Oryza sativa Japonica Group: one gene and its partner. The protein of the gene in region 2 interacts with the protein of the main gene of each other region in a pairwise test. Links are inferred from orthologs where the notes say so. Each region holds a gene or a part of one and is shown on either strand. Other genes may lie near its edges.

Region 1 (4,484 bases), on a different chromosome or scaffold from region 2:
CCTGTTAAGGAATCTGTTAGTCATGTGGATGTGGAGAGAGAGGGAGGAAAGTAGGGAGAGAGGGGGAGTACAATTCTTTAGCTCCAAGTTTAAGCTGATCAATCTGATTCTGCAGATCAACACATGCAGCTTGAATAGCTATATTTTTCTGACACAGCTCCTGCCATTCCGTCGTCAAGGCATGGAGTTGACCACCAGTGTTTTGCTGATCAAAACACAAATGATCAGCTTGGCTGTGAAATATGCCGTGGTTAAGAACAAGAGCAGGAGTAATATAATTACCTGGTGAAATTTCCTCTCGCGGTTGACAGTTTCTATCTTCTCATTGTATTCGACAGCCATCTTTTGCATCCTATAAAGAGATCAACCCATCATATGCTGCTAGAATGATAAATGCTATATTCGACATCTTAGATACCATGCAATCAGGCATAAAAATAATCTACCATCCATATTGTTACAGTGATAAGTAGCATTGAGACTTACAAGAATGTCGAAATAAGTGCTTCAAATATCAAAATAAGTGCTTTACTGGAAGTTTAAACAGCTAAGCTACACTATCAACATATGAGACCAGAGTCTACAAACAGGAGTACTGAAATGGCTCTAAATGAATCTCATGAATAACACAGGATACGTAGCTCCAAATTCAAAGATAATAAACTTATGTCACAATAGCCTACCTAGACAAAACTGATTCCATTTGTCTATTCTGAAGCTTCCAAACCTCAACACCATACTTCAGCATAAGCTCCAGATTCTCTATCCTGCAATATTAACTTTATTTCAAAACTAATAATAGCATAGAAGTATGCTGACTCCATAGATGATAAGAAACCATGGTCAGAAAAAAGCAGTATATCCTACACAGTGCGTACAGCAGTCGAATTCTGAAGTAACATGATCGAAGCTTTACATGTTCAATCATAACTAACCTAGGAGCTCCCATTGTCAAGTAAACTGTTGAAGCTGATATTAGGCAATACATGATCAAATATCTTAATTTACCCAAGATACATTTAGTAAAGTACAAGGAAAAGTCTTCTGCTATGAGCATTATACAATCCTCCAATTTACAAATTGTCAGTGTATCCAAAAAACATGCTCTTTTATCAAAATAATACTGCTTGTTATTTTAAACAGACTGCAGAAACCTTTGTCAAGCAGCCCATCCTATCTACTCTGATACTATTCTCGAAGTCTATGTTTTCCACACCAGGGAAAGCTTAAAAGCTATTATGGTAATGAAAAATTATCAAAAGGACATGCCACAGGAAGACACTGGTCCCTGTGATCCTATCACAATCAAATGCACAACGTTCAACGATACTGCACCTTTGATGGTAAATTTCATTAGTTCAGTACCCTGTGGCTCTCTACTCTTACCTTATGATTTGATGGTGCAGCTGGCTCTGAGCATTTCTTAGAGCCTGCCTCCATGCAGCAACATCATTCCTCTTGTTCGCTGGGGGTGGCTCCAAACCATAGCGGGACATCTCTATGGTAGCAGGAGGTTTCCCAGCTCTAACACGCTCGTACTCTTTAGCAAGCATAGGATGATTCTAGAACAGATGTGCAAAATGAGTATCAAATAATAAAAACTCATAAGGTTGTAAACATATTCACATGATGAGGCATAAGTTCTAAAAAAATGAAACCCAAATTGTGATTCAAATATTTTGTATAATTTCAATAAGCAATACAAGCCTACAACGAATTAAATGGCTGTATGTATCTTCAAATATGACTCAATTGCACAGATAAGCACAGATTATATCATCCAAAAGGGCAAACTTTGTGAAAAAAAAGGTATTAACCCTTTCCTTGCTCTCTGAGCTCTAAGACAACTATTATGGAGCAGAGTTAATATGATGCAAACACCTAGACTGGTACATCTCATAAGAATTATTTAGATGAAATCATCAAAGCGTGAATGCCCATTCAATTTAGTTCTTTTTTCTTATAATAACTATTCTTCATTGACTGCCGTGTGCACTTTTGATACCTTAGGTCATATTATTGACTGCCACAGGTTCAAATTGCCTGTCGGTTTAGCTCAATGCACACAGAACATGGAAAAGAGCTTATATTTCAGTTCTTGGTGCCTCAAATTGTATACTTAATTTCAAGTAACCGATCAAATCAATAGGTTCATTTGGTGGTCAAGAAATGTTGCTAAGTAAAAAAGTTAAATATTTGCAGCCAAAATATGTTGCTTTTCTGTTTGCAGCAGGGTGGATCTAGTCAAAACTATCAATTATTATTATTTCAGAAAATTTGAAGGCACGGACCATCAGGCATCTGTCCTCCATACGAGCTAATCAATTGAAGCATGTGGCAACAGAAAAAAATACTCTCTTGTTCTTTTCAGGATCAACGTTAACATACAGACATTATAGCAGAGCAAAACATTAAGCTTTACAAAAAAAAAAGTTCTATACAAATCCAAGCAAGCCACATATACTCAGTTAATTAGCTCAACTATAATCCAAAATTCCGCCACCAAAACATAGTTATAAGCACAGTTCTAAAGGAGGATAATGTACAGTATTTAGCAATGTGCTCTCACTTTCGAGTACACAACTACTAACCCTATACACCCCCCAGCCTCTAACCCGTTTCATTCTTACAAGTAGCTATAACCCTAACGCGAATCACATTCGAAAGAAAAGATACAGTTCTATTTTTTTTCGCCTGAAAAGATAGTTGAACGCAACGACCCCGACGCTGAACTAGAGCTGCTCCAAGAACCCACAAGGAGAGGAGAGGAGATGAGAGATCGCGAATCTACCTCGAACCCGATGGCGGGGACGGGGGGGAGGTCGCGGAGGAAGTCGGCGGGCTTGCGGCTCCCGCGCCGCATCTCCTCCTCCACCATCCGGTCCACCTCCCGCTTCACCGCCGGGTCGCCGTAGTCGCCGTCGATGTAGGGCAGCGCGTCCACGGCCTCCGCGTCCGGCGGCGCGCGCCACGGCGCCCCGGAGGGCGCCGGCGGGGCCTCCAGCATGAGCACCTCCCTCGTCCCCGACGACGACGCCATCCCGGTGGCCGCCTGCCGCTGCCGCGCGCCGCTGGTCGCAGGGGAGGTGGTGGAGGAGAGAGAGGAGGGTTCAGGGTTGTCGCCGCGGGCGAAGGGAGAGGAAGAGGAGGAGAAAAGCTCGTGTCTTCCTCTCTCTTTCCCTTACGGCCCACTGGCCCAAGGCCCAAGAGTGGGTGCAAGCCCAGCCGATTGGGCCAGACAGGTGCAGGCCAGCGCTTTCTTTATTTATAAGTTTATAACTAGCAAAAATGGCGTTGGGTTTGAAGATAATTTTTACGATGGGTAGAAACTCTGCCAATTTAAATGACAAACTGAAACAAGATAAATAAAATAATGGCAAAACAAAGTCAGAAATCATATATAGCATTGAGCCCAATTACACTTGCTTCATGCGTCATCACACGGAGAATCCTTTACGTACACTTTTTAATAGCCTCACAAAATCGATCGAGTGGCTATTCCATAATTCGTCGCATATGTATTTTGCTATACCTCATTGACCAAAAATTGAAATTTTGATTATTCAATTAGTGAAAGTTTTTTTTACTGTAGATGAAAAGCATTTGCATGAGAACAAACTTGCCGCTACACATCTTAAACAATGATAATTTCAAAATGAAAATATTTATGGAGAGAGAAATTTGGAAGAGAAAAAAAAGGAGGATGAAAAAAAAGAGGAGTTAGGTTTCTTCAAATTCGTTGTACTATATTATGTCGCATCAAAGTCCTAGGTTGAATTTTTTTTAAGACGGAGGAGTACATAATACTAACTAAACTGCTCCTTGGCTGCTACTCCTATAGTACTATTGAACACGAGATTTGACCTGTGAAAGAGACTAGAGCATCTTAAAGCGTGTCCACGTCATTAGTAATTAACTGTATCCACATCATTATCATTTATACTCATAGATAGATTCCGATCTGCGCTCAGCCTGATGGAATCCCTCTACCATCTTCGTTGACAACTCGACATGACACATTACGCCCCTTTGTGTTAACAAAACGCCGAGAGCCATTCGAGAAGAACATCTGCCATGTTGAAAGTATGTACAATAAATCAGTAATCTATGGCTCTAGGCCTCTAGCATGGATCCAGGAGGATCCAGAGTCCAGACGATGCCGGGTGGCGTTCTGGCGGAGATTTCCTTTTTTTCTTTTTTTTTTTAAAAAAAAGAAACATACTCCCTCCGGTAGCGTTTACTTGGTAATTTCAAATTTTTACTATATATTTCAATTTTTCCTAATAGTAATTTTAAGATGGGTAGGCTACAATGAACAAAAGTTTCAGGTCTTGTTTGGTTTGTAACTATGCCAAACTATTGGCGATGCCAAATTATAGGTAAGTTTTTGCCAATGCCAATATTTTGACAATATTTATGTGGTATTGGCAAGGATTGGTAACAAACCAAACATTACCAAAATGACCGTTTAAAATGCCAATATT
Region 2 (2,945 bases):
AGGGGTAAAAAGGCAAAGCGGAAGGCAAGAGAGAAACAACTTGAAGAGGCAAGGCGACTTGCCTCACTGCAGAAAAGGAGAGAATTAAAGGCGGCTGGTATTGATACACGGCAGAGGAAGAGAAAGAGAAAGGGTATCGATTATAATGCTGAGATTCCTTTTGAAAAGAGGCCGCCTCCAGGTTTTTATGATACTGTTGGTGAGGACAGGCCACTTGAGCATGTACAGTTCCCAACCACTATTGAGGAGCTTGAAGGTAAGAGAAGAGTAGACATAGAGGCACAATTAAGAAAACAAGACATTGCCAGGAACAAGATTCTCCAGAGGCAGGATGCTCCTGCTGCAATTATGCAGGCAAATAGACTCAACGATCCAGAAGCTGTCACAAAGAGGTCCAAATTAATGCTTCCACCACCCCAAATCTCTGATCATGAGCTAGAAGAGATAGCAAAGATGGGTAATGCTGGTGATCCTTCTTTAGTTGAGGAACTTGGCGAAGGTAGTACTGCCACAAGAGCATTGCTTTCTAGTTATTCCCAAACTCCAAGACTTGGAATGACACCATTGCGGACGCCACAACGAACTCCAGCTGGGAAGGGTGATGCTATTATGATGGAGGCAGAAAATCTAGCGCGTCTAAGGGAGTCTCAGACCCCTCTTTTAGGAGGGGATAACCCGGAGCTTCACCCATCAGATTTCTCTGGTGTTACACCACGTAAGAAGGAAATGCAGACTCCAAATCCAATGGCAACACCTTTGGCAAGCCCTGGCCCTGGTGCTACTCCAAGAATTGGAATGACACCCTCCAGAGATGGAAGTTCTTTTGGTTTAACTCCAAAAAGTACTCCTTTCCGAGATGAGCTTCGCATAAATGAAGAGGTGGATATGCAAGATACTGCTAAACTTGAGCTTCGTAGGCAAGCTGAATTGAGAAAAAGCCTACGATCTGGGTTTGCTTCTATTCCACAGCCTAAGAATGAGTACCAGATAGTTATGCCACCTATCACGGAGGAGGAGAAGGAAGAAGCTGAAGAGAAAATTGAGGATATGTCAGACAGGCTTGCACGAGAGAGGGCTGAGGAACAAGCAAGGCAGGAAGCCTTGCTCAGAAAGAGATCCAAAGTTTTGCAGAGGAGCTTGCCAAGGCCACCGGCAGCTTCTATAGAAATTCTCCGACAAACTCTAATTAAGGGTGGTGAAAGCAGAAGCAGGAGCACCTTCGTGCCTCCTACATCACTTGAACAAGCTGACGAACTAATAAATGAGGAGCTTCTTCGGCTCCTTGAGCATGATAATGCTAAATATCCTCTAGATGAGAAAACTCAAAAGGATAAAAAGAAAGGAAGCAAGCGCCAGGCGAATGGGACTCCTTCTGTACCTGAGATTGAAGATTTTGATGAAGACGAATTAAAAGAGGTAGGTTTTCTTCCCCTCTTATTATATTAGTATTTTAGCAATGAGACATGCCTATTTTAATCTGTTAACATCTATTTCAAGTGACTGATAGACTCTACTCATGAATGCAAATTTTGTTGGATTAGTTATAACTTGAAATCCTGTAGTAATAACTTGAAATCCTGTGTGTGCAAGATTGATCAATGTTTATCTCTCACTGAACACATATAACATGTGCCTTAAAGCATCAATCCTAAATAATTTATGACTTCATGTAGCAACTTTTGTATTCTTACTCTTTGATTCTCAAGCAGCCAAAGTTTGAATTATCCTAATGGCATCAAATGTTCTCTGGAGGATAACTTGAATTAATGCTAACTTTATATGTTATACTGGAAAGATACCATGTAGCTGTGGGATCCATAGGATCATGTGCTTAGTTTTAAGAACGTAATGTTTGATCTGATTAGCACTATAAAGATATAACCATGTGCTTGGCATTGCAGGATCATGAATCTGTTTACATGTAGTACCCTTTTGGATACTTTGTATTTTGGTCTTTGGATAGTCAGAACAAAAAACTTCATTCCATAAAAAATTGCAATGCCTTATTTACGGTGCATCCTTTGGTTATTGAATGGCTCAGCCATTGTCTCCTTGGTATCATTGTTTGATGCAGTAGATGGCTAGAACATATGAGCTCATTTCACGTACTCAGCTTTGATGGGAACATGTTTCACAATGAATTGCCCATGTCGTTAATGATTCCCATAGTGACCCCAACAAAAGATCATGTCTTGTGTGGTGAGATGTGAAATTGCATCACATCATTGTGAAAATTTAATTGACAGTATGAAATCCGTGTTATGCCATTGTGAGAATTTCATCTGCATCAACTAGCAATCACATTGATAGCAAAGGTGATCTAGCTTACATGGGGCCTTCATTGTCAGTAGAGTAATGGGGTGGCATCATTTTATATTGGAAGACAATGCACATATAAATTTCCTTAGCATATAATCTCTGGACAGGGCACAGAGAGCTGAAGGTAACGCTTTCAAGTTTCAAGCCAATCTCCCAGACAATTTAAACGGAGATATTTTGTAGAGATGGACCTAGAAGCTATATTCTCTCATCTAGTCATTTCCATACATTGTCTGTGAAGTTATTTCTGTACATAACCTGTAGATTTTCATCAAGAACCTTCCATTTCGCATCTATTTTTTGTTTCTAGTCAGTTTGGCATATGGTCTATTTTCTGGGTTTCTTGGATTCTTTTGAACAGTACTTATATTAATGCTATACACAATCCGCATGCTGTAGCCAGTATTCAATTTTCTCAGGAGTTACTCAGGTTTTAGTGTACTACATCATACGCGATATATGGTCGGTTTTTAGTTGTCTCCATGGTTAGTTTATTGTATTGATAGTAAATGTGATATTGCTTGATGCTTACCGTGAAAAAAGCTACGATACTACCATAGTAATTGGGATCATCTGCAAGATATGACTTCATATTATTTCCAGTCTTGTGCCCCTAATTTATTTAT

The links.
Region 1: the proteins of cell division cycle 5-like protein (region 2) and pre-mRNA-splicing factor SPF27 homolog interact in binary tests that used the Arabidopsis thaliana proteins (3 or more experiments, as listed by UniProt). The link is inferred for Oryza sativa Japonica Group from reciprocal best matches to the Arabidopsis thaliana genes CDC5 and MOS4.

Annotation. Positions count from the first base shown.
Region 1 is NC_089035.1:9,024,523-9,029,006, reverse strand, and holds the start of pre-mRNA-splicing factor SPF27 homolog, read right to left. Parts: upstream 3,131-4,484; 5' UTR 3,041-3,130; coding exon 2,792-3,040; intron 1,563-2,791; coding exon 1,387-1,562; intron 768-1,386; coding exon 684-767; intron 353-683; coding exon 283-352; intron 206-282; coding exon 72-205; intron 2-71; coding exon 1-1. UniProt on the Arabidopsis thaliana protein: Component of the MAC complex that probably regulates defense responses through transcriptional control and thereby is essential for plant innate immunity. Involved in mRNA splicing.
Region 2 is NC_089038.1:16,929,467-16,932,411, forward strand, and holds part of cell division cycle 5-like protein, read left to right. Parts: coding exon 1-1,416; intron 1,417-2,945. UniProt on the Arabidopsis thaliana protein: Component of the MAC complex that probably regulates defense responses through transcriptional control and thereby is essential for plant innate immunity. Possesses a sequence specific DNA sequence 'CTCAGCG' binding activity.